Linked DNA regions of Xenopus tropicalis. The protein of the gene in region 1 purifies or fractionates together with the protein of each later gene. This does not show direct contact. Links are inferred from orthologs where the notes say so. Each region holds a gene or a part of one and is shown in the gene's direction. Other genes may lie near its edges.

The links.
Region 2: the proteins of cytochrome b-c1 complex subunit 7 (region 1) and cox6b1 purify together in Homo sapiens (affinity purification with mass spectrometry; 3 studies listed by BioGRID and IntAct, counting the BioPlex papers as one, with this or other methods). This does not show direct contact. The link is inferred for Xenopus tropicalis from reciprocal best matches to the Homo sapiens genes UQCRB and COX6B1.

Annotation. Positions count from the first base shown.
Region 1 is NC_030682.2:130,040,341-130,055,842, forward strand, and holds cytochrome b-c1 complex subunit 7, read left to right. Parts: upstream 1-6,104; 5' UTR 6,105-6,191; coding exon 6,192-6,210; intron 6,211-7,883; coding exon 7,884-7,955; intron 7,956-9,015; coding exon 9,016-9,182; intron 9,183-9,707; coding exon 9,708-9,785; 3' UTR 9,786-9,900; downstream 9,901-15,502. Other genes in the region: mterf3 (transcription termination factor 3, mitochondrial), read left to right, coding at 198-345, 1,133-1,204, 2,085-2,246, 2,757-2,951. UniProt on the Homo sapiens protein: Component of the ubiquinol-cytochrome c oxidoreductase, a multisubunit transmembrane complex that is part of the mitochondrial electron transport chain which drives oxidative phosphorylation.
Region 2 is NC_030683.2:124,516,905-124,532,401, forward strand, and holds cox6b1 (cytochrome c oxidase subunit 6B1), read left to right. Parts: upstream 1-5,952; 5' UTR 5,953-6,009; intron 6,010-7,040; exon of another isoform or gene 7,041-7,175; intron 7,176-10,431; 5' UTR 10,432-10,436; coding exon 10,437-10,542; intron 10,543-11,889; coding exon 11,890-11,990; intron 11,991-13,173; coding exon 13,174-13,227; 3' UTR 13,228-13,371; downstream 13,372-15,497. UniProt on the Homo sapiens protein: Component of the cytochrome c oxidase, the last enzyme in the mitochondrial electron transport chain which drives oxidative phosphorylation.

The DNA of each region.
Region 1 (15,502 bases):
GGGTGACAGACATTACATTTACAAATAGCTCGAAAACTGTTGAAAACATTAAATGAATGTATATTGGAGAATTTCATTCATTAGGCAAAATGTTCCCCTGCTTATTCAGTGTAGTGTGGGAAAGCTTTAGCGGCCATACTTTCCAGAAATGCTGCAATTGCTTTCATTAGAGTGAAGCTCTTCTCGCCACTTTTCAGGGTCTCGTACCTGAGGCTGAAGGAATTCAGTAAGGAAGCAGTCGCTCGAATGGTCGCCAAAGCCCCTTATCTGCTGAACTTCTCAATAGAAAGACTGGATAACCGCTTGGGCTTCTTCCAAAGGGAACTGGGCCTAAGCACAGAAAAGGTAGGAATGTGGGGGGCCTTGGATTTTATTGTGTTATTTGCCATTTTAAGCAAAATCCTCTGACAGTGATGTTGGTGTCCTGGGATATAGCCATGTACTCTGCTCTAGCAGCTCCTGCAAGTGGACAATGAGATTATTGGTGGACAAATCAGTTTCTGGCCATTTAATAACAGTTCTGGTGCATTTCATGAATGACTTACTGCCATGCTGGAATGAGTTACCAGTGCAGTTTCTTATATGATTGCTCAGAATTTTAATGTCCCTTGAACATTGCCCTTAAGTGTATGCACATAAATGCACTTTCTGTTTGTTGATCCAATGTCACAGATTGTGCTTAAAGACAAGTAAATGCTCATTGGCAATATGGTAGGCACCCCCCTAGTGATTATAATTGCTCTCCTCAGCCCCTGGGCTGGTGCTGCTCTTCGCTGAAAACTCCAGTGGCCTGGGGCACTATTGTAGGAAACGTTTTGCTGCCATCTTTCTTTGGGTCCTTTCAATCCTTACTGATGCCCTGGCAGTGCCCATGCCCAACAGAGCAAAATCAGGATTTCAAAACTGAAAGCCAAAGTCTTTGCCGTATTGCGTGTGCTCCCACCACAAAGCAGCAGTAATATATTGCAGAGACTATAAGCAAGATGGCAGCACAGGGATCCCTACAATAGTACTGTATCATTCACTGAAGAAGTGCAAAGGCCCGGGGGCCTGAGCTTTGTGATCATTGCAGTGTGCATATATTCTGTGATAAAAATTAAATTTTTTTCCAAATTATTGTATCTTTCAACAGACAAGGGACCTGATTATACGCCTTCCGAGGTTGCTAACTGGAAGCCTTGAGCCTGTAAGAGAGAATCTGAAGGTAAGCCTGTTTGCTGCTGGAGAAAGACCCCCCCCCCCCCCCCTCCCATTATAGAACATAAGCTCACTAAGGTGCATAGACAGATCTAACGTTCTCAGATATAATTATAAACATACATATTTTTTTTGACCCAAACTTACATGATTCCACATATTGAAACCATTATAGTCTCTCTGTGCTTGCTTGGGCCCCACCCCCGTAAGCTCACAGTGCAATGCAGCCAAACCTTGTTCCATTGTTAAAGTGATGGCTTCTAGTTCATGAAAGACCTTTGCTTTCCATACTGGGTGGTACACAGATTCTCTACAAAGCAGAGGAACATGTCCCAGAATCCATCACTTCACAATGGAACAAGGTGGGGGTGGGTTGGATCACTTTTTGGGACTCTGTGGGAAGCACCAAGACAGACTATTGTGGGTTTTTTTTAATCCGTGGAATAAGGTCTTTCTTTTTTTTTTTTTTTTTTTAACATAAGACCAGCTGAATGAGCTTGTGTCAAGAAAAGGAGGGGGGAGGTGTACAACAAATAATAGGTGTACAACAAAATAATATTGCTTTAATTTTACTTTTAGTAGTGCGCCCCCTTCTGTTTATTACCTATTTTCAACCTATGTATAAATACCAGTTATCTGTGTGTCATTCTAGTAATGCTATATCACTTTCATTAATATTAATAATATATGTATTTACAAAACACCAACATATTTTGCAGCATTGTATAATAAATGGGTGTATGCGTTAAACATTCCAGACAATATAGGAAAACAATTAATACAAGAGGTCAAAAGGGCCCTGCCCTAAACAGGTTCTGGTTCTCGTTTTGCATGGTTTCATCATAACAATACATACTTATTTTTTATTTTGGGTTTTTTTTTTTTAGGTATGTGAAATTGAACTGGGATTCAAAAAAAATGAGATCCAGCACATTGCAATAAAAGTCCCTAAAATATTAACAGCGAACAAGAAGAAATTAATGGAAACCTTTGATTATGTGCATAATATAATGGGAATCCCCCATCATCTTATTGTTAAATTCCCACAGGTATTGTGAGCTTTTCTTGTTAATATATATTATCCAGCTCATAGGTAACACCTCGCCTTACCTAGTATTTCAGGGAAGCCTCCAAAACCTCCATGTGGACCTTATTCAAGAAACCTTAATTTTGACTTCAGAATGTATTAATTAAACAATTTTACAATTGATTCAAAGTAATTTGTAAATGTAACATGTGTCATGTGTCTGTTCCTTTCCTACCCTGCTGGTACTGAGTTTTAAAAAAGTGTAGCAGAAGACAACCCCAGCCAAGACTCCCTATTCCCACAGTGCCTTTCACTAATCTGCTAATGATGTCACTTCTGCCACGTTGTTTCAATAGTCAGAACCAGCAGTGAGTGTTGAGAATAGCAAGGTAAAGAAGATTATATTTACAGATAACTTCAAAACCTGTATATTGAAAAGTTGCTTAGACACTTCGCTTAGAGAAACGAGAGAGGTGAGAACATGGATCGTGCAGGTATATCCAGTAACCAATTTGTTTCATTTTCCCTGCAGGTATTTAATACAAAGTTGTTAAAAATGAAGGAGAGACATCTGTTCCTGGGATTTTTGGGCAGAGCTGTATATGATCCCACAAAGCCAAACTATGTCTCCTTAGACAAACTAACATCAACTCCCAATGAGATTTTCTGTGTGGAAGTTGCCAAGGCGTCGGTGCAAGATTACGAGCGGTTCCTGAAAACTCTGTGAATAACGAGCATCTGAGAGCTGTGTTTTCCATGCTGCAGTTAGGCGCCTGTATAGAATATCTTTGTGTGCATGGAGAATATTTATGTATATATTTACAATGTAATCTGTTTCTACGCATAAAAGAAAATGTTGGTCATAGGCAGTTCTGTAGCATTGTTACATATGAAGATAATATTTCTAAAGCTCCTTATGTATTTGTACATTAACGGAACAATATATAAGATTCTTTGCTTTGTATGAATAAATAATGTCCTCCTGGATAGATGTGTGGTTGTATGTATCAAGCAAGAACCTCGATACAGCTCCATACTGGCACTTAGTGTATAATTATGCAATGCCCATACTATAGCCAGCTCAGTATTATCTTTATAACCACCATTTTATCTGACTTCTAAGCCACGGAGTAAAAGTACATTTTGGGGCAGATTTATCAAAATGTGAGTTTAGAGATTAATACATAAAAACTCACCAATGTTCTATTCATTCCTATGGGATTTTTAGAAGTGTGGGTGAAAATTAGAACTCAACATTTCATAAATAGGCTTCTGAAAATCCCATAGGAATGAATAGAACATTGGGGAGTTTTTATGTATTAATCTCTAAACGCACATTTTAATAAATCTGCCCCTTTATGTCTGGGACGTTCCTTTGCTGAGGGTAGGTGCTTAGCAGAGGTTATCGCAGGGGGTGCTTTTAGCCAGCTGAGAATCAACAACAATCCTCTGCTGTCTGCTCCCTTTGACATGAATGGGAAATGCCAGTATAGGTGCTTTTTAGACTGAAAACTCTGGCATGTCTCTAGGACAGTGCTGTCCAACTGGCGGCCCGCGACCCCCCTCTGTGTGGCCCCCCACCTGTCTGGCTGCTTTGATGGCTTACCTTTGAGTAAGCTTTAAATGGTATCAGTACTGTGATTAACTGCCCCCCCCTGCATGGTTCTCACCTCCAGATTCAGGCTGTAATCAGGCTGTATTGTTTAAATATGTAATCCCCTGTGTTGTTCACACCTTTTAATCTCTGCATTGTTCACCCCCTGCAGTGTTCACACCTCAGGCTCAGGCTGTAATCACCCCCCATTGTTCCCCTGTTCACACCTCAGGAGCAGTAGAAACCCACAAATAATCCCTGCACACTACAAAAGGAACATATACTGAGGTGGTACTGCAATTAAAAAGTTTTTTAATATATAGTTATTGTGCAGACTGTAGGAGCAGTGCCAGCATTGTGTCACTGTAGGCTGCCTGTGTGTGCCATACACACAGGCATCATAGGGCAAGCAGAGTATGGCACACACAGGCAGCGTAGGGAAGGCAGAGTATGGCACACACAGGCCAAGTATGGCACAAACCAGCCAAGAATGGCAAACACAGTGAAAGTATGGCACATGCAGGCAGGGTAGGGAAGGCAGAGTATGGTACACACAGGCAGGGTAGGGCAGGCAGAGTATGGCACACACAGGCCAAGTATGGCACAAACCAGCCAAGTATGGCACACAGGCAGGGTAGGAAAGGCAGAGTATGGCACACACAGGCAGGGTAGGGAAGGCAGAGTATGGCACACACAGGCAGGGTAGGGCAGGCAGAGTATGGCAGGTTTTTGCTGTACTACAACCATTAATACGGGTATGGTCATGTAATAACATGGGTGTGGTTTCAAGTGGGTGCGGTTTCAAAAAGGGGAGTAGTCAAAACTGGCTTCCATTATCGGCCCTCCACCACGTAGGTCGGAAAAATTCCGGCCCTCAGTACAACAGAAGTTGGACAGCACTGCTCTAGGAGATACTAAAATGGAATAACAAGTTAATACATTTGTTAATAGCTCTAATTTTAGTGTAAATTGGATTTTAAATCCAGGAAAATGTGATGTAATGTCTCCAAAACAGGAAGTTCGGCTTCCCCTTACCTATTTAGTTTGCAGGTAGCACCTTTTACAGGCAAGTGTTAATATTTAGTTTGCATATTGATGGGTAAGGGGAAATTAAAAAAAAAAAAAAAAAAAAAAAAGGACTCAGTGGTGGGTGCTGGAAATTGTGTATCAAGAACCAACAAAAGGCCCCATATGGAACGTGTAAGTGCCACCTAGTTACCCTGCAATCCCTGCTGTTCCAGAAGCTATTCTCCACATTCTTGTTGTCATTTGTGCTCATCCACACATTTCCTACCTGATACTCTCACTCTGCTAAGAGAAACTATGCTGCTCAGATAAATCTTTAGTATGCACTAAACAGGCACAGCAGCCTCCTGTTGGTTGGCACATGGGGCAAGTTCTGTTTTACTGCAAAAGAACCTTCTGGTGCCTATTCTTTCACTCACTTTACACACAGCCTAAGTAAGTGGTAGTTGCACTACACCCCTTGGATATTTCCACATAGTGAAAGCCCATCTTGAATGTTTAGAGTCCTATGTACCCCCATGCTCTGAAGCCTATCTAGCTGGTCTGGTCTGTAAATACAGCCAAGTAGGGGTTACACATCACTCTGGGAGGAACCATAAGCCAGACTGGTACATACTAACACAACTCTGGTCATGCCCATTCCCACACCTTGTGTCTCAACCCTTTCTCCTTGTAGATTGTAAGCTCTTTTGGGCAGGGCTCTCTTCACCTCTTGTATCGGTTATTGATTGCTTTATATGTTACTCTGTATGTCCAATGTATGTAACCCACTTATTGTACAGCGCTGCGGAATATGTTGGCGCTTTATAAATAAATGTTAATAATAACAATAATAATACATTTATAAGTTAGTAAATGACATAGGCATTGGATATCCAATCTGCTCCTCTCAGCTGAACGTCAGCTCTCAGTTTAGCCAGCTGTCAGAGGGTTGATGAAGGGCTGCAGTGAGTCTATCTCTATGGGGGCGGGAAGCTAGTAAAAATGGCAAAGTTTTGATACTTTCTCTCATTTGGATTAACTATATAGACATTAGAAGTGGTAAAGCTGACATAGTTACAGGGAGGGATTCTATAAATCAGGGACGTCCAACAACTAGAGGCACTAGGTAGGACCTACTTGATACGTGCACCGAAATATAGTAACACTAAAAAGCAATTCGTGTCCCCTCTACAAAAAGCGACGAAAACTATAAGAGTTGCCATAACTACGAAAACATCCACTTTCATAAAGTTCAATTGACAAAGACGTGCCCTTCCCTTACTTCCTGTTACACTTCCGCCCGTACTTCAAGCTGCGCGTCGTTTGTACGCGACTCTACGTCAGACGTCATTCTCACTGGGAAAGATGGCTGCTCGGGCACCAGGTAAGGTCGAGGCAGCTTCTCCTTCACTGGCCCCTCTGGGGTCTGGGGTTACTTGTTCCCTATTATTTGGGGCCCTGTGAGGCAGAACCCTATTTATTGTGTGGGGGTGACATGGAGAGAGGAAATGCCGCCTGTGTCCTATCTGTGACCCCGTCCCCTAGCCCCTGAGCCGCCTGTATGGCCGGGTCCTGCCGGGCTGGGCTGCTCCTCAGAGGTCATGGCTTGCTGAGAGACTCCCACACTGCCTAGCAGATAAAGTGACAGCTGTGCTGCCTGCCTGGGAGTTATCCCTAATGTGTTTAATAACAGCTCCCAGGGTTTGCCCCATGTGTTACTGTAAGTGGGGCTCAGGGAAAGCTGTGGGAGATCTGGGACTTTGGGGTATATTTCTCATGCTGTGTAAAAAGTGGAGTAAAACATTACCGGTGATGTTGCTCATAGCAGCCAATCAGATGTTTTGCTTTGATTTTCTAACTGTTGAAATCTAATTGCTGATTGGTTGCCCTGGGAAACATCACAGGTAATGCTTTACTCCACTTCTTACACAGCATGATAAATATACCCCTTTGTGTGAACGTTACATCTCATGGTAATAATTGCCCTTCTGATGAACTTGGTGGGTCACATTCACTCAAACTGACATTTATATTGCAATTTTGTCCACATCTGATAGGTGGCGCTGTTGTTTCAAGTTCATTAACACAGTTAAAACTGCTATTGTCTTGAGAACTAGTACTTGGGATGATCGTCTCTGTGGCTAAAAAATACATAGACATTAGAGCAGGGTAGAGCTGGGCAGTATGACCAAAAATTTATATCACGGTGTTTTTCAAAATTATATCGGTGTCACGGTATTTGACGGTATTTTTTTTTTCCATGCATGATTAGGTGTTAACCCCATTTCCTAATAAATTAGAGAATAATTACTGCAGTATTGAAAATCAGAGTCAGGCAAGCGAAGGATCAGCAAGAGAAAGTCGTAAGGTAAATTAGGCAGGCTTAGTTTCTCAGGCAAGGCCGCAGACAACATAGCACAGGAGGAGGCGTTTGATAGCTTTAAATACTCCCCGCGCATGCGCAGAACCCGTCAGCGCGTCATGGATGTGCACGCTTTGACGCACGCGCACCTGGACAACGGGACACCGCACGGGTGAGTACCCCGACACCCCGGTATTGCGGTATCTGAAAAATGAATATAGTTTTAAAAAAAAAAAAACACCGGTATTCGGTATTAAACAGTATATCGCCCAGCCCTAGAGCAGGGGTGGGCAAGCTACGGCCCGCGGCCACATCCGGTCCATTGGTCTTTTTAATTCGACTCGCCGAGGATTGGTGTGTCTCACTTTGTCCAGACTCATCACGCGAGACTTGGCGTCAAGACTGCATGTAAGCGCTGGCCCGGCACGTCTGTCAAATTTTAAAAGTCAATGTGGCCCCTGAGCCTAAAAGTTTGCCCACCCCTGCATTAGTGGCTGTGTACATATTGTAGCAAAACCAGTTATTTCTGGAACTTTCCTTCATTTTGCTTTTCCCATGTAAAGAATAATGGGTTGTTGGTGATTTGCTTTGCTTGTAAAATGGATCATAATTCTGTTTCCATGTTATTTTGATTATGAATACAACAGAACATAATCTTTCCATTTTGTTGATACATTTACTTCCTTATGTTGCAGTTGCCGCATCAGGCCGACTCATTGACGGTTTGAGGAAATGGTACTATAATGTTGCCGGATTCAACAAACTCGGTAGGTTAATGGATACGGGTACACCAGCAATGATAAATTCGCTTCCCAAAAAAGGAGCGGGTCACCTAACTATTTATTTGCAATAGGCTTAGTCCAACTGAAATCGAAAGCTGCAGATAAAAAGAGACAGTCACCCTGGCAGCAAGAAAGTGTATTCACGGGGAAGCTAGATTGTTATTCTTGCATTTTTGTGACCTTTTCAGGGTATCGCAAAACTGGGGAACTGCTGACAATTTAAAGGCAATTTGGGGCTAAAAAGGATTATTACTTTAAAGGAGTGGTTTACTTTTGAATTAACATTTAGTATGAACATTTTGAGGCAGTTGGTCTTCATTTTTTTTTTAATTTGTTATGGTTTTTGAATTAAGCTTTTTGTTCAGCAGCTCTCCTGTTTGGAATTTTATCAGCTACTTGGTTTATAGGGTCCATTATACCCTAGCAACCAGGCATTGGCTTGAATAGGAGAGAACCTGGATAAAAAGAGAAGTAAGAGAAAGTAATAATAACATTAAAAGCAATAATATTTTTGGGAGACCACCATTTAAAAGCTGGAAAGAGACAGAATATTTCTTATTATTATTACATAGAAGCTATATAATTCCAAAACTATAAAAAATATTGGCCAATTAAAAAGATGAGTAGAATAGTCTATTCTATAACATAATAAAAGTGAACTTTTTGGTGAGCTACCCCTATTCTATTAATGGAACTCCCAAAATTTCCTCTATAATCCTTGTCTGTTACAAATGAGTATTGGGTGCATCCTCGTGATCCTTCCCCAAAGCCCAGTAGAATGTTGGTAACGAATCGCAGCTCTCCCCTTGTACAGAGATGTGCACACTGCAGTTCCTTGTCAGCCTGCCAAGCTGCTAGCTAAGCTCTATGGTCTGTATGAGGCCAGCCAATCCACACCCTTAGTGCCACCAGTATGCAGCTTGTCAGAGCCTCAGCTAAAGTGCTGCCTCTCAATCTGTCCCATTCTGTTTGGGGCGCCCCAAGTGTTGCCAGTAGGCAGAATACAGGCGCTGTGGTGACCATGTGTTTTTATTTTCTTTGGCAGGTTTAATGAGAGATGACACAATTTATGAAGATGATGACGTGAAAGAGGCAGTAAGGAGGCTGCCACCTAAAGTTTATGATGACAGAATCTTTCGAATCAAGAGGGCATTGGACCTGAACATTAGACAGCAGCACCTCCCAAAGCAACAGTGGATTAAATATGAAGAGGTATTTAGCATAATTATCTTTAATGTAAATGAGGAAACTACAGGTCCAGTTCAATGTGCAAAGTGCTTGTGACATGGGTGATGTTTTGCACCAGAGGTAATAGTACATTCCATATTACTTAAAATATCCCACATAATGGTACATGTGCTATTGCTGAGCCACAGTCAAATGTAGAGAGACTTGGAGAGCAACACAAGCACCATAAAAGTTCATGGAGGAGCCAAATAAGGGCTGTGATTGGCTATTAGGCAGCCTCTATGCACCCTATCGACTTACAGGGGCTTTATTTGGTAGGAAATCTTGTTTTTATTCAACCAAAACTTGCCCCAGGTCAGGAATTCAAAAATAACTCCCTGGTTTGGGGGCACTGAGAGCAACATCCAAGGGGTTGGTGAGCAACATGTTGTTGTAAAGACTCTGTCCGTGCTGGACATTTATTGCAAATGGAATATTTTTTCCAAAGCAATTATATTTATCTAAATGAAATAATTTAATGCCATATTTTTTTTTTTTTTTTTTTTGTAGGATGTTCACTATCTGGAACCATACCTCAAGGAAGTGATTCGTGAAAGAAAAGAAAAACAAGACTGGATGAAGAAATGATGTGCAAATGCTGTTTTCTGGGAAAGTTTATGTAAATGTCTTGTCTATTGAAACAGAGCCTGTCCCTTTGTACTTGTGGGGCTGGCCAAGAAATAAACATTCGGAATGAACATCATCTGTCTAATCACGTCATTGAGCAAATTGCACTCATACAGCCAACTGGCTGGCAACTTTTGGAAGCAGTTTTATTTTTGTTCAGGAGTTTGTCGTCTCCTGGTTCACGTATGTTTGGGCACATACAAATATTGGGTGTTCTATACATATGGGCCATCTGAATGATCAGAGATGGAAAGTGGTGTCCAGTATTCCTATCCTGTCTATGTGATTGGTCACTCTGCAAATCTGCACCTAGGCAGTAGCCCATAGCAACTGATCATTCATTTTCTTTGTTCATCCAACTGCAGTTAGAGTAAGGAAAGCAAAAATTTGGTTGCCATGGGTTGCTGGACTAGTGCAAAGTTGTGTGGTTTTAGTAACTGAGCCAGTCTGATTACCATAACTTTTTCGGTAGACCCTAAGGGACTAATGCTTTACCTTTCTAATCATCTCAAGGGGGAATTCCCTGTCTTTCCCATACTCCTTTGCTTTGTTGTGTCACTAGAACAGCACAAATGTGTGCCCTAAAAAACAAATTTGCCATTTGTGTAAATGGAAAGTGGTGGAGGAAACCTTAACAGTTCAAAACTCACTCACAGAACCATGAAGAACACAGTGTTATGTGTGCAACTTGGCAATTTTATTTCAAAATTTCTGATTCTTGGCCTGAATGGAGCTCTGGGAAGAGGGATTGCTGTAAGCTTCCAAAGTCATGCAATTAGCAAGTTCCCTTTCTGGTATTTTTAGATAATTAAATTCCATTCTTTGTTTGAAATGAAGAAGGAAATATTACAGCACTGTGTAATAGTAAATATACACATTGTAATTATTCTTTGTTTCTTAGTTATGATTCAGCGGTATAGGTGGGGCCTGTGCGCACTGAGGTTGAACGTGGGACATCCAGCACTCCGGACTCATGAAAACTGCTAAAATCCAAAGTTTATTCCTTCATGTTTAAAACAAATAAACACCTGACGCGTTTCGTGCCCTTTAGGGCACTTAATCATAGGAGATTATGATTAAGTGCCCTAAAGGGCACGAAACGCGTCAGGCGTTTATTTGTTTTAAACATGAAGGAATAAACTTTGGATTTTAGCAGTTTTCATGAGTCCGGAGTGCTGGATGTCCCACGTTCAACCTTGGAGAATTTTCCCTTTCAGCTGCGGGTTCGGGGCCTTGAGCACCCGGACCACCATCGGCTTTTGGTGAGCTACTTGGATTTCTTTGTCCGTATATTATTGAATGATCTTTTTTGAACCTTGCGTCGGGCTCGGGGTTTGAACACCCGGGCCTAGCCCGATACTGGGTACATATATATAACCTTTACTGTTTTGATGTATATTAGGGAACAAATTTTGATTCAATCATTGACTATATTCCAATTATTTTTTGAGTCAGTTAAGATAACTATTTTACTGAATTTATTTCATGAAATCCATTTGAGGTTTGTTTATTTCACATTCCTCTCCCTCTTCCCTGTGCACACTTACCCTACTGTTGCAGGTTTTCGCTTTTATGGTGAAAAAACAAATAAATTCCAGACAATCCGCTGAAGATTGCACCTTGAACCAACTTTCCCACAGGATAAACAGATGAATATTGTACGAGTGGCCATATGCTGTAAGGCAGTGATCCCCAACCAGTGGCTCAGGTACAACATTTTGCTCCCCAACCCCTTGGATGTTGCTCTCAGGGGCCTCACAGCAGGTGCTTATTTTTGAATTTCTGTTTAGTAGGCAAGTTTTGGTTGCATAAAACCCAGTGTAATTGCCAAGCAGAGCCTTCTATAGGCTTCCAGTCAACAAAGGGGCCATCAAATAGCTCTCATTGGCACCTCCTTTTTTCATGCTTGTGTTGCTCTCCAACACTTTTTCCATTTGAATGTGGCTCACGGGTATAAAAGGTTGAGGATACCTGTTGTAAGGCCACATTAAAGGGGTTGTTAACCTGCGCTTATCTGCAGGCTGGGAATCTGCCCATGTGGCATTAGCTTTAGTGAGTGGGTAAACAGGCAAAACTGCCCCATGTGCCATTAGCCTCAATTAGTTTGTACAGTAAAGAAGATGTACACAGAGTATGCACTTGTAAATAATAGTATATTAACTTCTATGAACAATAACTTCAGATCATAAATACATTATACTGTGAGGGGCAGAAGCAGCACAAATACATTAAATACAGGGAGAAGCAGTGGGATCTTCAGCCCCAAATACATTAAATACAGTGAGAGGCGATGATTTCTGACACCCCAGACCCACTTACCCTTCCAAAAAGCAGGTTTCCTGGGGGCTGGAGAAATTTTCAGTATTCGAGATCAAAACAAATTCAGAAATAATTTGCATTGCTAAATGTGCTCACATGCCCCACCTAGTGGTAGTCAGAATAGCACCCAGGCTGGAGAACCCGTGTTTCGATATTATGCGACTTGGGTCATATGGACAGTACATTGAGTAGGAGAAACAATAGGTTAGCTGAAAGCAGTTCTAATGTGTAGCGCTGGCTCCTTCTGAAAGCTCAGACTCAGGCACAATGCACTGACATGGCGCCTACACACCAATATTACAGCTAAAAAATAATTTTTTTGGTTCAAGAAATTTTAAATGGCAGAGGGAATTATTTGCAATGGATACTGGTCTACCAAGCCACTATAGCGTAGCATATCCCAAGCACCACATCATATCCAGTACTGGTCTGAGTGTCAGTGAAAGGTTGGAGGCCTGATAAGCATGCCTTTAGCCTGTCCATTTATCCTGGCATTAGATACCATCCTCCTTAGATGCCATCTTTTCTCAGATTCCAAATTTACAAAACACCCATTTTTATGCAATTTCTAATTATCTCTCTATGACAACAGCAATGCCTCTCTAATATGTATCATTACCACCAAATATGAATTATTTGCTACAGGTGTATAAATATGAGTAAATGTTTAAGTTGCCTCTGTAGATAAAATACACTTTTTGGCCAAAGGTATATTTCTATCTAGTCTGACAGTTGGGCAAATGCCTGGATAACTCTACTTGCCTGAATGCACTGTGCTGACTGTGATGTTTGCTTGAGGAGGAGCTGTTTCTATGGTTTGGGGAGACATTCTTGGCAATTCTGTGCTTCCTACTTTTGTTTGGGGAAGGTCTTTCCCTGTCTCAGCAGAATAATGCCCCCATGCAGTAGGAGAGGTACTTATAGAATGGATTTGCTGAGATGGGAATGGAATACTATGACTGGCCCAACTGAACCTCTGTGGGATGAACAGGAACCCTGACTGTGAGTCGGGCCTGATCCCCAACGTCAGTGCCCAACCTAACTAATACTCTTGTGGCTGAATAGAAACAGCTCCCACCAATCATGTTCCTACATCTAGTCGGAACCTTCCCAGAAGTGTAGGGACTGTTACAGCTCCACACTTATACCCCTGGTTTGGGAATGTTTAAGAGGCAGGTATCCAGGTACATTTTGCTTTATGGTGTTCATAGATATACAGGTATGGGAACCCTTATCCGGAAACCCGTTATCCAGAAAGTTCCAAATTACGGAAAGGCCATCTCCCATAGACTCCATTATAAGCAAATAATTCAATTTTTTAAAAATGATTCCCTTTTCTCTGTAATAATAAAACAGTACCTGTACTTGACCCCAACTAAGATATAATTACCCCTTATTGGGGGCAGAACAGCCCTATTGGGTTTATTTAATGGTTAAATCATTCCCTTTTCTCTGTAATAATAAAACAGTACCTGTACTTGATCCCAACTAAGATGTAATTACCCCTTATTGGGGGCAGAACAGTCCTATTGGGTTTATTTAATGGTTAAATCATTCCCTTTTCTCTGTAATAATAAAACAGTACCTGTACTTGATCCCAACTAAGATATAATTACCCCTTATTGGGGGCAGAACAGCCCTATTGGGTTTATTTAATGGTTAAATGATTCCCTTTTCTCTGTAATAATAAAACAGTACCTGTACTTGATCCCAACTAAGATATAATTACCCCTTATTGGAGGCAGAACAGCCCTATTGGGTTTATTTAATGGTTAAATGATTCCCTTTTCTCTGTAATAATAAAACAGTACCTGTACTTGATCCCAACTAAGATATAATTACCCCTTATTGGGGGCAGAACAGCCCTATTGGGTTTATTTAATATTTAAATGATTTTTAGCAGACTGAATATGGAGATCCAAATTGCAGAAACATCCCTTATCCGGAAAACCACAGGTCCCAAGCATTCTGGAACAGGTCCCATACCTGTATAATATTCTGGCTCTGTGTGAGATGCACCTCAAACCTGCTAATACACACCACAGTGTGAGAATCCTTATGGTAGCCATTAGCGGCAAGCCTGGACCAGTAATCTGTGGGTTCTGGCAAATGCCAGAGGGGCTGCTGTAAGATGCCATAGACAGTCACTAGACCTGATTTGTGGTTTAATACAGTGTCAAAATGTCCACAACCACCTAACAACCTCTAATGTTGTCCCTGGGAACCATGTGAAAGCGTCGGTATGGTCAGTTGGATAAAAATTTGTTGGTTTTATTCCTGTTTGCTATGGACAATGTCACAATAAAATGGGTGTTAATCTGGTGCAACGTGATTGGCTACAGTCCCAAAGCACTGAAACAAATATACTGACTCTTGTTTAATAACTATAGATCACCTGCGTTTAATCGTCCGCTATGGACACGTTACCTCATGATCTGTTTACTAAGGACTGGGTGATTAAATAAGATGTTTGATGGCTTCTCATGTGGTTCCTTGGGGCGCAATAAAGCAGAAGAGTGTTGGCTTCGGTGTGTTTGTATGGGCTGAGTTTCCAAGGAAAACCCATTCTTCCTTGCAGGCTAAAGCCATCGGGCGCCTTCTCATCCTCACAGGCCCTTGGGTGCAGTCAGAGGCTCCACAACTGAGGTCCTGCTCAGATTTAATCCCTGTTTAAACTCAGGACCCCACGACAAAAGCAGGTGCTTCCCACAAAGGTCAATAAAGAACCTGTTGATTCTCTCCGTGCTTTCCCTATGGTTTCCCTATGGCTGTGTAATCCTTTCTAATGGATGGGTCTTAGTGGCCCACTCTGGAGTCATCTGCTTCTCATCCGTCTTCTCTGCACATCTCCACCTACAATAGCAGAGGATGAGGCCGGCCGCTCATACACCGTGTCTTGTAAGGAATGATGTGCTCATTCTGTGGAGGCGGCCAGGAACCCCGTTACATATACCTCCCCTGAGAGCCAGAAAGATTCCTTAGGACACAAACAGAAATGTGTTAATCGTGCAGCATGGCGCACAGGCGCTGACAGATGCACCTCATTTTCCACTTTATATAATGGAACAAGTCCTGCTAGAGCCGACAGGAAGCACTAACAATTTCAGGCAGATCTTCCCCTAAACGTAGCTTTGTTCCCCAAATCCCCCAATGCGAGGGAACGTTGTACAATGAAATCCTTGCAGTTGCAGCCAGAAGGCATTGAGGCCAAGGGACTCCGGATTTATTCCACTTATTACTCAGCAAAAGTTCCCTTTCTGTTTGCTTATCCCCCGCAGGTGTGAAACAAAACCCACGATTATGGTGGGAATAGTTTGTTTATTCACTGTCATTGGCTTTGGTTGGTGGGAGTTGTAGTC
Region 2 (15,497 bases), on another chromosome or scaffold:
ATGGTGCCTATAGTAGCAGGGGGGGGGGGATAATAGCCTCTGGGAAGGGACTGGGGCTGTGGGATAGCAGGTATAGTAGGGAGAGATGGTGCCTATAGTAGCAGTGGGGGGATAATAGCCTCTGGGAAGGGACTGGGGCTGTGGGATAGCAGGTATAGTAGGGAGAGATGGTGCCTATAGTAGCAGTGGGATAATAGCCTCTGGGAAGGGACTGTGGCTGTGGGATAGCAGGTATAGTAGGGAGAGATGGTGCCTATAGTAGCAGGGGGGGGATAATAGCCTCTGGGAAGGGACTGGGGCTGTGGGATAGCTGGTATAGTAGGGAGAGATGGTGCCTATAGTAGCAGGGGGGGGATAATAGCCTCTGGGAAGGGACTGGGGCTGTGGGATAGCTGGTATAGTAGGGAGAGATGGTGCCTATAGTAGCAATGGGGGGATAATAGAGTGGGGCTGGGGTGGGCGGGGCCCAGGGGGCCCTGAAATTTTTGCCGTACGGTGGCAGCCCTACAGGAAGATGATCACATTTTTCAGTGAGCCCTGGCTACCCCCGTGTAACACTGTACAGCGCTGCGGAATATGTTGGCGCTTTATAAATAAATGTTAATAAAAAGAATAATAATAATACAGGGTATTTCTGTGATTCTTCATTTAGGAAGTGCTTCCTATTAAAGATGGAGAAGAGCTTGTCAGAGGTAAAATGGTGGATAGAAAGTCTGGAGTGATTAAGGAGAATGGTTATAAATTGCAATACTTGATAGCTCTTTCTATAAAATAACATTATTGTGGGCAGGTCCCATTAAACTCAGGGATTCCCGGTGTCAGTGGCCCTGTGCCCTGGGGTACAGACTGAATTCACAGTTGGGGGGGTTGTTGCCCTTGGCTGACAGATCTATAAAACTGGCAGGTGGAACTAAACTGACAGACATGTTCATACATGGAAGTTTGTCTTTCCAATAGAAAGGGTCCTGTTTCCCACCAGAAACATGGCTGACCCCCCGAGTAACCTGATTCATTCCCTGTGCTTTCGGCGGCACTCGGCTTCGGATTACATTGGCGTTGACGGATTTCTTCGCAGTCAGGCCCCCCTTTAAACTTAAAATACACCAGCTCGGGAGGACTGTCCCCCCTGATGGGGCCCTGTCTTCCCGTTTGACAGATCCACTGCTGGGTACTTTATACTGGGTCATTTGAGTTATAATTCTTGGCTGAATTGTACAAAGCTTCAATAAACTACTGTACAGCGCTGCGTACATAAGTAGCGCTTTATAAATAAAAATATACATACATACATAAACTAACCAAGCAGATTGTTCTATAAGTATCTGGGACTGCAAGCAGTTAAATCCGTTTTATATGGGTGCAAGTGCATCAGACATGCCCAAGAGAGTCCAGTGCTGCCCCCTAGCTTTTATGAAGACTCACAGCAGAGATCTGCCACAGCAGCTTTTGTACATAACGCCACCAAGGTTTCCAATTCCTATCCTGAAGTGACATCTGGTGGTAGAATCCAACATATCCAAGAAAAAGAACTGGTAAAAAACCTGGGGAAGGAGAAAATAGAAACAACCCTGGGCAAACACTTTTTTGAATGTGGTCATCAGATTTCACAACTTAGATGGCAAATATTGGAACAAATGAAAGTAAGGGAGGGACAGGGTACAAAGAGAATTTTATTACAAAATGAATGTTATTGGATTTGGGCCCTAAAAACAAAACATCCTAGAGGTCTAAATTAGGATTTTACTATGTCTTGCTTTTTATGATATTGTGGGGGTATTAGGGTTATTGTTAATTATGTATTTTTTTCTGCAGATATAAAATATAAATTGTGGTTGGTTCAGGGTTGGTTTGTTTTGCAACAAATGTTCCCTTTAGACCGTAGCGATGCTTCTATTACTGGTATCATTTTATAAGGTTTATTTATTTTTTGCTAATATTACTATGTAACTATAACGAGTTCTTTTGGTGTTAATCTTCTTGAGTTATTTTGGTAGGTTCTGTATATATGGGCTTATTCTTCAGATGTTTATATAAAACATTTATTGGAATTATGTTTACTTCATGGACTTTTTGTACACGGACCATTGCCTTCTCTTATTATAAGAATTGCCACTATGATTTTTGTCTCTGTATTTTTAAATGTTAAATATGCTAATTGTACAATTATGTATGTTGATTAATTGTGGGTTTATTTAATCACTTTCATTGCACTGGTTTGTATGCCTGCCGAAGGGGTACACCCCCCGAAATGTTGCTGCTATACTTTGATGAAACACGCAGGGGCTAAGCCCCACTTGCATCACACTTATTGTGCCGGTCAGTTTTCTGCTAGAATCTATCAATGAACACTAATGGAGAACTCCACCCAAACACAAACTGTGGAGAAGTTGTTACAATGTGTAACATCAATGTTTTAGCCCCTCCTCCCCTGTCAGGAGTTTAAATGATGCAAAAAGCGAACTGTCTTGCAGCTGGATTTCAGTATATAAAAATGGTATTTATTTCTACTTTTTGAAGGAACAGATTACATTACATTAACATTTATTTATAAAGCGCCAACATATCCCGCAGCGCTGTACAATAAGTGGGTTACATACATTGGGCATACAGAGTAACATATAAAGCAATCAATAACCGATACAGGAGGGGAAGAGAGCCCTGCCCAAAAGAGCTTACACTCTACAAGGAGACATACAGAGTAACATATAAAGCAATCAATAACCGATACAAGAGGGGAAGAGAGCCCTGCCCAAAAGAGCTTACACTCTACATTATTATTATTATTAACATTTATTTATAAAGCGCCAACATATCCCGCAGCGCTGTACAATAAGTGGGTTACATACATTGGGCATACAGAGTAACATATAAAGCAACCAATAACCGATACAAGAGGTGAAGAGAGCCCTGCCCAAAAGAGCTTACACTCTACATTATTATTATTATTAACATTTATTTATAAAGCGCCAACATATCCCGCAGCGCTGTACAATAAGTGGGTTACATACATTGGGCATACAGAGTAACATATAAAGAAATCAATAACCGATATAAGAGGTGAAGAGGGCCCTGCCCAAAAGAGCTTACACTCTACATTATTATTATTATTAACATTTATTTATAAAGCGCCAACATACCCCACAGCGCTGTACAATAAGTGGGTTCCATACATTGGACATACAGAGTAACATATAAAGCAATCAGTAACCGATACAAGAGGTGAAGAGGGCCCTGCCCAAAAGAGCTTACATGTTATTATGCTTTATGTAGCGCCAGCGTCGGACTGGGCCGCCGGGATACCAGGAAAAAACCCGGTGGGCCCCGGCGGCCCAGATCCAATCCGGTAAGTTTCTTTTAGGAGCGGTCGGGGGAGGAGGTCGGAGGGTGTTGGGGGTGGGGGCCTTAGCGGGGGGGTATGTGTAAAGGCGGAGGGGATCATTGGGGGGTGTAGGGGCCCCTGAGGCAGAAGCCCCGGTGGGCCCTGCACCCCCCAGTCCGACCCTGTGTAGCCCTAACCTGTTACACAGCGCTTTACAGTGACTGTTTATAATTTATATCAGCCTCTGTCCCCAAAGAGCTTACAGTCTACTAGTCATATTGACACAGGCTGGGGTTCATTTTTTATCAGTAGCCAACTAACGTGCCAGGTAGACTGGTGCTCAGGTCAGATCTGTACTCAGGAACATACCGTCGGCAGCAGAGCTAACCAATGAGCCATATTTTACAGGTGGTAAAGCAACAGACAGGTAAATGAAGATGTTCAGCAGAAAAGGCTGCAAGTCTGAGGCAGGTCTTAAAATGGAGGCGGGGCTTAATTACTCAGGTAATGACTGGAGCAGCAACACTGCCAAGAGATTTGACAATTTCTTTAGACTCTCATTTGATATGGTACCAACCAGAGTAAAGCTGATGTAATCACACTACTCAAAACAGTTTCAGATATGTAATTATCAGCCGGTAAGTCTGACATATGTAGTGGGCAAGTTGTTTGAAGGTTTGCTAAGGGATCACATTCAACATCTTTCCCGATGACACAAAAGAATCGCTTGAGATTAAAAGTAAGATGCTTTCATCAAGTGGTTGTAGATATATATGGCAGGTTCCAGAAAGGGTTGGCCAATTTGTATTAAGATATAGTGAAATTAACTTAGAATAAACTTGATCCAGTGATTGGTCCATTTATTCTTTTGGAGCAAGGAATATTTTTCTCTGTCTGACAGGGCCTGGAATTGGCTTTAGACTGGGTTTTCTCACCTTCTTCTGCAAATGCCCAACAGTATTGACACCTTCGCACTTTTTTCAACTATCCTACAAATTAAGTTGGCCGTACAATTGTATTGTGACTGGTAAAATGGTTGCCCCTTGGCCTACACCATATGAGAGGGCTCAAACCTGAAAGAAATGGTCTCATCCGTGAAATTTGGTGTAAGGTGGTTGGTTTTGGGGTAAATCCGGTGTCCCCAATTTACCCTAAGCTTACACAATTACATTCCCTGATTTGGCCCATTATGTGATTGGCTAGTGCAAAATAAGGTTGAAGTTCAGCAAAGCAGGTTTCCACAATTCCTCGTTTCACTATACAGAGCACAGGACTTTGTTATTCCATTCAGACATATCCTTTTAGATATAACGAAAACTGATCGACAAAACTATTGTAACCCTAGACATATTTGATAGCACTGAAATGAAATCAAGAACTTCCAATAGCCATGAATGAGCTCCTCCCATATCCGAGGGACGCCTTGTACAACTACATCTTTCATACTCTTACAGATTTAGATTCTACAACTTTGAGACTCAAATAAATGTACCAGTAGTCGCCTGCCCTCAGCCTGCCTCCTCCCAATCCCACAATCCCCTGCTGCACACGTGATGTCAATAAGGAAAGGTACATCACAGTGCCTCCTCCCAATCCCACAATCCCCTGCTGCACACGTGATGTCAATAAGGAAAGGTACATCACAGTGCCTCATCCCAATCCCACAATCCCCTGCTGCACACGTGTTGTCAATAAGGAAAGGTACATCACAGTGCCTCCTCCCAATCCCACAATCCCCTGCTGCACACGTGTTGTCAATAAGGAAAGGTACATCACAGTGCCTCATCCCAATCCCACAATCCCCTGCTGCACACATGTTGTCAATAAGGAAAGGTACATCCCAGTGCCTCATCCCAATCCCACAATCCCCTGCTGCACACGTGATGTCAATAAGGAAAGGTACATCCCAGTGCCTCATCCCAATCCCACAATCCCCTGCTGCACACGTGATGTCAATAAGGAAAGGTACATCACAGTGCCTCATCCCAATCCCACAATCCCCTGCTGCACACGTGATGTCAATAAGGAAAGGTACATCACAGTGCCTCATCCCAATCCCACAATCCCCTGCTGCACATGTTGTCAATAAGGAAAGGTACATCACAGTACAATGCATTGTGGGTTATGTAGTTCCTGTAAAATATGGAGAAGTTGTTACAACTTTCAACATCAGTGTTTTAGTCCCTCCTCCCCTGCCAGGATTTCAAATGATGCAGAAAGAGAAGAACTGTTTTGCAGCTGGATTTCATTTAATAAAAATGCCTTTTATTCATAGTTTTTCAAAGAACAGATTACAGTGCTATGGGGTGTCTGTGTTGTGTGAAACTCTGTAACAAGTTTGGGTACAGAAGCCGCAGTTCCCCTATGAAATGGAGATAACTAGTCAACAGCTTCCGCCCCAAGGCTACGTGCCCGCTTCTCTCACACACAATGGCGCCAACAGCCGACGGTTCAACCAATAAGAGCCTGAGCTCAAACCAACCCTTAGTTAGCCCCGCCAGTCTGGCTTCCCATTCGCTACTGCGCTTGACTCCTTAGCCCCGCCCATACGTGACCTCATCACGCTGGACGCGCAGGTACTTACTGCCCTTCCTGCTGGTGCCCTTAGTGTATGCCTGTGACGTACATCCGGCCTCATAGCCGCATTTCCGTAGCTGGGTAGAAGTGACATTGAGGAAGACGAACTCGAGGTGAGAGTGTGGCGGCCCCGGGCTCCGGGCTGGGGAGGCCGAGAGGGAAAGGGCAGTGGTGGGAGTAACATAGGACGGGATAAGTGTCGGTGTGAGGGGGCTGGGCTGGGGCGCAGCTTGTCTGAACGGATAAACGAGGTGCTTGGAAGGCGCGGTGATCCTGGGAGAAACCATTCCTTGGTGGGGGGGGGGCGATATGGTATATATATCCCACAACCTTCCTGCTAGGCTTCCCTTGCTGTCCAATTAGGTTACTGGTAGGGGCCCTCGGCCTAGTTATCGCCCATTGGTATTACAGGGGCTGCTGGGTACTGTAGTGAGGGTTGGCCCTACGTGCTGTCACTGTGCTACACCCACACTGCAGCCTTCTTGCATTCCAATTAAAGGGCAACACACCCTGCAACTCTAAGATATATTAATGCATTCGCAATGGAAAGCAGTATCTGGCTTTTTATACTCTCTGCACTGCTGGTTCTGACTCCCAGCTTCTGCTGATGATGAGACCTGTAACTGATGTCTGCTACATTGTTTCAGGAGTCAGAACCAGAGAACAGAAATGGGGTGGAAAAAAAAAATACTGACTAATGCCCAAGTTTAATATGTGTAATGCCCGGCAGCTGTGCCTCTTACATGGGACCCTCGGCCTCTGGGTAATTCTTCCGAGGGTTTGACTGGTTATTCCTTTGAAAAAAGTAGCAGGGTCAAAGTTTATATGGTGGTGTGGGTGGAATTGCCTATAAAGGTGGCAGTTGGTTCAGGTGACAGGTAGGTAGGTGCACGTTACTTGTGGCTATAGAACCAAAAGGGGGAATTAAATAAAGTTCAAATGGGAATTGTCTTCTAGAAAAGTTAGTTGTAAGTCAGACTTCCCCTTTATTGCCCTTACTGATAATCCCACTATGGGAAATGACAGTGGGTGTTTGTCACCTTGTAACTAGGTGACCTGTATGACCAGGCGTGAAACATACGTGTGCAGTTCATCCCCGTGTCTGGGTTTATAAGGGTTTGTTAAACTGTCACCTTTCCCACAGAAGCTTCTCGTCTTTTGTCGACTGGGAGGAAATTTATTCTGCAGTTTATTAGAACGGAGCCGCCCTGAGAAGTTTCGTCTGATTTAATAGACTGGGGAGGGAATTTGGGCTTCAAGGCTCTATCATTTATACCAAGTAGGGCTTTTTTACTTATGGTCCTTCCGCTGTTGTTCAACTGCAACTTGTAGACTTGTCTGATACTAATATAGCTCTTATCCCACTGCCAGACATCCTTCCCATAGGCTATAGGCACCATCTCTCCCTACTATACCTGCTATCCCACAGCCCCAGTCCCTTCCCAGAGGCTATTATCCCCCACTGCTACTATAGGCACCATCTCTCCCTACTATACCTGCTATCCCACAGCCCCAGTCCCTTCCCAGAGGCTATTATCCCCCACTGCTACTATAGGCACCATCTCTCCCTACTATACCTGCTATCCCACAGCCCCAGTCCCTTCCCAGAGGCTATTATCCCCCCACTGCTACTATAGGCACCATCTCTCCCTACTATACCTGCTATCCCACAGCCCCAGTCCCTTCCCAGAGGCTATTATCCCCCCACTGCTACTATAGGCACCATCTCTCCCTACTATACCTGCTATCCCACAGCCCCAGTCCCTTCCCAGAGGCTATTATCCCCCACTGCTACTATAGGCACCATCTCTCCCTACTATACCTGCTATCCCACAGCCCCAGTCCCTTCCCAGAGGCTATTATCCCCCCATTGCTACTATAGGCACCATCTCTCCCTACTATACCTGCTATCCCACAGCCCCAGTCCCTTCCCAGAGGCTATTATCCCCCCACTGCTACTATAGGCACCATCTCTCCCTACTATACCTGCTATCCCACAGCCCCAGTCCCTTCCCAGAGGCTATTATCCCCCCGCTGCTACTATAGGCACCATCTCTCCCTACTATACCTGCTATCCCACAGCCCCAGTCCCTTCCCAGAGGTTATTATCCCCCCACTGCTACTATAGGCACCATCTCTCCCTACTATACCTGCTGTCCCACAGCCACAGTCCCTTCCCAGAGGCTATTATCCCCCCACTGCTACTATAGGCACCATCTCTCCCTACTATACCTGCTATCCCACAGCCCCAGTCCCTTCCCAGAGGCTATTATCCCCCCACTGCTACTATAGGCACCATCTCTCCCTACTATACCTGCTATCCCACAGCCCCAGTCCCTTCTCAGAGGCTATTATCCCCCCACTGCTACTATAGGCATCATCTCTCCCTACTATACCTGCTATCCCACAGCCCCAGTCCCTTCTCAGAGGCTATTATCCCCCCACTGCTACTATAGGCACCGTCTCTCCCTACTATACCTGCTATCCCACAGCCCCAGTCCCTTTCCAGAGGCTATTATCCCCCCACTGCTACTATAGGCACCATCTCTCCCTACTATACCTGCTATCCCACAGCCCCAGTCCCTTCCAGAGGCTATTATCCCCCCACTGCTACTATAGGCATCATCTCTCCCTACTATACCTGCTATCCCACAGCCCCAGTCCCTTCCAGAGGCTATTATCCCCCCACTGCTACTATAGGCATCATCTCTCCCTACTATACCTGCTATCCCACAGCCCCAGTCCCTTCTCAGAGGCTATTATCCCCCCACTGCTACTATAGGCACCATCTGTCCCTACTATACCTGCTATCCCACAGCCCCAAGCCCTTCTCAGAGGCTATTATCCCCCCACTGCTACTATAGGCACCATCTGTCCCTACTATACCTGCTATCCCACAGCCCCAGTCCCTTCCCAGAGGCTATTATCCCCCCACTGCTACTATAGGCACCATCTCTCCCTACTATACCTGCTATCCCACAGCCCCAGTCCCCTTCCCAGAGGCTATTATCCCCCCACTGCTACTATAGGCACCATCTCTCCCTACTATACCTGCTATCCCACAGCCCCAGTCCCCTTCCCAGAGGCTATTATCCCCCCACTGCTACTATAGGCACCATCTCTCCCTACTATACCTGCTATCCCACAGCCCCAGTCCCCTTCCCAGAGGCTATTATCCCACTGCTACTATAGGCACCATCTCTCCCTACTATACCTGCTATCCCACAGCCCCAGTCCCTTCCCAGAGGCTATTATCCCACTGCTACTATAGGTACCATCTCTCCCTACTATACCTGCTAACCCACAGCCCCAGTCCCTTCCCAGAGGCTATTATCCCACTGCTACTATAGGTACCATCTCTCCCTACTATACCTGCTATCCCACAGCCCCAGTCCCTTCCCAGAGGCTATTATCCCCCCCCTGCTACTATAGGCACCATCTCTCCCTACTATACCTGCTATCCCACAGCCCCAGTCCCTTCCCAGAGGCTATTATCCCCCCCACTGCTACTATAGGCATCATCTCTCCCTACTATACCTGCTATCCCACAGCCCCAGTCCCCTTCCCAGAGGCTATTATCCCACTGCTACTATAGGCACCATCTCTCCCTACTATACCTGCTATCCCACAGCCCCAGTCCCTTCCCAGAGGCTATTATACCCCCACTGCTACTATAGGCATCATCTCTCCCTACTATACCTGCTATCCCACAGCCCCAGTCCCTTCCAGAGGCTATTATCCCACTGCTACTATAGGCACCATCTCTCCCTACTATACCTGCTATCCCACAGCCCCAGTCCCTTCCCAGAGGCTATTATCCCCCACTGCTACTATAGGCACCATCTCTCCCTACTATGCCTGCTATCCCACAGCCCCAGTCCCTTCCCAGAGGCTATTATACCCCCACTGCTACTATAGGCACCATCTCTCCCTACTATACCTGCTATCCCACAGCCCCAGTCCCTTCCCAGAGGCTATTATACCCCCACTGCTACTATAGGCACCATCTCTCCCTACTATACCTGCTATCCCACAGCCCCAGTCCCTTCCCAGAGGCTATTATCCCCCCACTGCTACTATAGGCACCATCTCTCCCTACTATACCTGCTATCCCACAGCCCCAGTCCCTTCCCAGAGGCTATTATACCCCCACTGCTACTATAGGCACCATCTCTCCCTACTATACCTGCTATCCCACAGCCCCAGTCCCTTCCCAGAGGCTATTATCCCCCCACTGCTACTATAGGCACCATCTCTCCCTACTATACCTGCTATCCCACAGCCCCAGTCCCTTCCCAGAGGCTATTATCCTCCCACTGCTACTATAGGCACCATCTCTCCCTACTCCTTTCATTATGCAAAACATTTGTTTTTGGGCGGAGTTCCCCTTGAAGTTGGCTGCAGATTGCTATACTGACAGATAATGAAATGAGACTTTGGTTCTGAAGCCTGATTCGCTGGTTATCCCAGTTATTATCTGACTATGAAAAGGCTTATTACCATGTTCTGACTCCTGCTCTGTTCTCTTTTTGCAGGCAAAATGGAAGATGAAATCCGCACTAAGATTGAAAACTTCAGAACCGCTCCTTTCGATGCTCGATTCCCCAATCAGAATCAGACCAAACACTGCTACACCAATTACCTTGGTAAGGCGTGTAGCTCCTCCCCTTCTACATTGCGGCGTTCATGCTTCGCTCTTTGTGACTGAGCTTCAGTGCGGAGATTCTAACACACAAATTACGTACAAATGCGTCGCATCTGAAACGCTCCATTGTGGGTTAAAGGAGATTGAAGCTCAAAAGATACATCTATGTCACTGTATTTTTTTCAGACTAATGGTGGGCATACACTGTAAGATCCACTCATTTGGTGAGGTTGGTAAGCAAGCGGATCTTCTCCTGATTTGCCCACCTATGGGTAGGCGATATTGGGCTAATTTGATTGATTGACCCTAGGGCCAAACGATTGAATTAAAAAGGCTGGCATAGGTGCCGGCGGTTTGGGGGCTTCATCTCCGATCAGACGGGAAAAAATCAAACCCACCCGATCAAGATCTGGGCAGTTTCAGGCCAGATGTCGGACGGGCAGTTCCATCGCTGGTGCCCATACACGGGCAGATACGCTGCCAAATTGGACCGATATGACCAGCTACAATCGTACCTTAAAGAAACAGTAACACATAAAAAATGTAATACCTTATTCGCCACAAAACATCTCTAATAATAGACCTAGCCTTTCCCCCTTGCTTTTCTTTAAACGCTTCATGTTGAATTTTAGTTAGACTGCTGTAATAATATTATATAACATTACTATTATATAATAACAGACCTAACCTTTCCCCCCTTGCCTTTCTTTAAATGCTTCTTGTAGAATTTTAGTTACAGACTGCTCCATAGCAGCACGGCGAAAAGGCAACGGGTGCTTGACTCCTTGTGTGCCCTGACCCGGAAGGACCTTCGGCACTTAAGCTTCTTATCAGCACCTTTAATTTAAATTTATGATTGCAACATTACCCCCCCCAAACTGTCTGAAGAAATAGAAACATAGATTTAAGCTACATGTGCCTTTTCCCCGTGCTGCTATGGAGCAGTCTGTAACTAAAAATTCTACATAAGCATTTAAACAAGGCAAGGGGGGAAAGGCTAGGTCTGTTAGTATATAATAGACCTATTACATAACATATTATTAAAGCCTCATTACATCATATTCACATTGATTTTACTTCTCGCAAAGCCCAGTACAATCGCCCGTTGTCCTGCAGTAAAACCACCCCTACCCTGTGCCAATAAAGTCTCCTCCGTTTCCCCATAGCAGTGTAGTGGCCTGACAATCCCATGCTGCATAGCTGCTTTAACGGGCAGGTTTGACAAATGAATCTCCCTGTGCCGTTTCATTTCCAGATGAAGGAATATTAAAGAAGCACGGTTTTCCCTTGAGATCCTGCTGTTTGGATCACTCATGTTAATGTGGGCCTGTCACCCTTTGTTTTTCAGATTATCATCGCTGCGTGAAGGCTAAGACCGCCAAAGGACAAGATTCATTTGTCTGCGACTGGTACAAGCGTGTTTATAGGGCAATGTGCCCCCTGAAATGGGTATGCCACTTTGTATTCATTCATTACTTGATGTTTCCTGCCTGCACCCTTTTAAGATTTATTTTTTTAGATTACTGGCCACATGGGGTGTAAAGCAGGGGCGGGCCAATCTGACCGGGCGCCATAGGCAACCTGGTCGTCTACCGCCAGCTCCTACCTGGCGCCCCCCAATCATTACGCCATAGGCAGCTGCCTCTCCTGCCTACCCCTAGTTTCCGGCCCTGGCGTCAAGCTGTCTTTGGGCGCATTATTTATAAAGCACCAACATATTCCACAGCTCTGTACAATTAGTGGGTTTCATACATTGGACATACAGAGTAACATATAAAGCAATCAATAACCGATATAGGAGGTGAAGAGAGCCCTGCCCAAAAGAACTTACAATCTACAACCCTTCAGAAGGGAAACAGAGAAGGGTTCTGATGTTGCTCTGGTCAGGGAAGAGACAGGAAAGGGCATCTGAGGCTTCTGATCTCTATCCTGAGCTGAGCAACAAAACTTCTGTTTTCCATCTGGATTGTAAGCTCTATGGGGCAGGGACCTCCATCCTCTTGTCTCTTTGATTCTTAACTTATTGCAACGGTACCTTGTATTTATTGTTATACTTTGTATTTATCTATTGTAATAACCGCCTGTAGTATTCTCTTCTACTGTACAGCGCTGGGTACATAAGTAGCACTTTATAAATAAAGACATACATACATCTCTCTGACTGTACAGTTACCAAAAGTGACCAGCAGGTGGAGCTGTTTTTTTACAAAAGTGATTATATTGGCAGCTAATAAAAACTTAAATACTAGTGCAAAAGTGCTTAGAAAAGCATCCTTTTTTTGTGCTTTACTTGTGCTTAAAGCACAATTCAATAACTACCATGCATTATTTAAAACTGCAAAAATAGTTGTTTGTACAGCCAGAATATAATATGAAATGCATTTGCTCCATGCAGTTGAGATGTTTGCTGCAGACTGCATTGGTTTCCATGCCAGCATGTATTCACTGTGGGCTGAATGGACAGATGGTGTGTAATTGGAGCCATAATCGTTATAGGCTCTGTTCCTTCATGCTGCCAGAAAGTGAAGTGTGCCTGCTGCTACGCTCTATTTCCTCCGTCGCTACATTGGCCGACACCAGAGGTGGGGCTGCCGTAATAACTGTGTTCATTTCTATTGTGTTTTTTTTCTAGGTGGAAAAATGGGACGAGCAGAGAGAGTGCGGCACGTTCCCAGGCAAAATCTAAGCTATAGACCGGCTTCCGCCGCTCGGTACAGGAGTATCGCCAATGCTTGAACGTGTATCAGTCCAATGATTACTGTTTGTATCTGTCACTGAGTGAAGAGCAAGTGGTAGAATTCCTTTATATGTTAATAAAACCTTCTGACACTTATGTCTCTTATCTGTTCTCTTGGTGCTTGTGTGTAAGCGACACCACCAAGCCAACACGGGGTTAATAGTGTGTATTTTAGGGCCTGATGTCTCGGGAAGGGCGCTTTGTTTCCATGAAATATTGTATGTCGTTGGTGTGGAGCACCAGAAATGGCTTCTTTGGGTGCTGGATGAACAGTTGGGTGTATTATCAGGCATCTGTAGGCCAGAAAATGCAGTGAATTCAACAATACAAAGTGCCTCCCCCCCCCCCAGGCGCTTCTACATTAGGAATGTTTAGGGTTCGCCCAAACCCAGCTTTCTCCATCAGACTTCCAGCCCAACCTTGTTTTTTTTACTTGATCCCCATTCTACTTGTTGGTAGGGCCACAGCTCAGGTGATCAGGGAGCTAATTATTACTTAGTTGTATAAGGGCCCCATTATTTCTGTGATGGTGGCTCTGTGTCCCCTACAAAGCATATAAAAAAAAAATGTGTAAATCTACCCAAGTATTTCCTTCCACAACTGGCAATAATTGTGAATTACTTTTGATTAGTTTGGCAAATATTTGTGCCTGCTCCCCTAAACCCCCCACCACTGTGCTTACAGCTGGAGCCAGGCCCCTCTGACTCCCCTCTGTCCTACTCGGCATCACCCAACACTGTTAAGCACCCTCCCTGGCCTTTAAATCCAACAGCCATTCTTAGTGTCCTACAGCCAGTGAGTGGGGTATTTAAGTGTTTCTCACCCCCTTGTTCCTTTATGTGGGGTCACTTGTGCATTTGTGTTGATATCCTATGATGTTACAACATGTGTGTGAGTTACAGTTCAGAAACCTCTGGCAGGGGTGTCCCTGCTGTCTGTTGCTGGGGGCTGCCAGGGTGCAAGAGACCAAATAGCTAACAACCCTAAGAAATAATTCAAAATTCTTTTCCATTGTGTTTGTTAAGCAAAATAACCTTTCGCTTACACTATATATGTAACAAATCTTGTTTCCTTCAGTCCTGGAATTACACAGTCACAGCAAGCAGGCAGGCGCCATTTTGTGGATCTGGTTATTAAGGCAAGTTTTGTATCACCCCAAAATATTGTGTATGTGCCAGTATGGGGGGGAAGATGCCCATGCATTGGTTACACAATTAGATGGTTAGGAGGGAGGGGGAAAGTGAGAGCTGAATTGAAATTCAAAGTACTTGTCTGCCTATGGCATAGAGGTGGGGCAGGCAATATTGATTGACAGCTGGGATTTTTAAATGGGTTTGGATGTGTTAATAGAGAAATGAATTTGGGTTTCTTGTTTAAATTGAAAAGTTATTTTATTATACAGCTTTTTATGTCTGGGTGACAGTTTAACTTTAAGGCCCTGCTTGCAGTTTTGTAATTTGACCACAAGATGTCACCCTTGGCTCACAGAATGGTGTACAGCTGAAGATTCTATAGGGGAATCACTAATGGAAATCTGTCAAATGAATTCTGACTAAACCACCTCTCTAAATTCTTGCTTTTAAACCTAAAGATTGTTTTATAGAACATTTTACCCCACCATTTAAAAATGCTTTTTCTAGTTACCCCCCTTTCAGTAGCTGTATAGGGGGCATATTGGCAGCCTATTGGCAAGGTACAGCCCCACTCTGTCTCATTATAGCACAGCAATAGGTGCACAAAGCCTTATTTATTTATATCACTTTATATATAAATATAGCTTATTGTTAACGTAACATGTTTTATGTCATATTTGTGTTAATTTGATTCGTTTTGCTTAATGAATGAGGCAATATTAGCATTTTGAGTGAATATATTAATTATATAAATCTTTAAAGGGAAAGTAAAGCCTCACTGACACTTGTGCAGACTTACCTGTGCCCCAAAGCAGGCCCAGAACTACAGAGATGCTCACAGTGTTGGCTGCCACTTTTAGCTGTGCTGCTTGTGTTCGTGCAAACAGCTAATGTTCCTAGTTGAGCTCCGTTGTGGGAATTGAAGTCACGTGACCAAAGATGGAGGTGTGGCTCTGCATTCCTGAATGTGTAATGGGCCACAGTTAATTTGGGGCAAGTGTACAGGTACAGCTGAGAGTCACCTGATGGCAGACTGACGATTAGGAGGAGGAGCTAAAGCCACAATCATTAGTACAAGGCACAGGT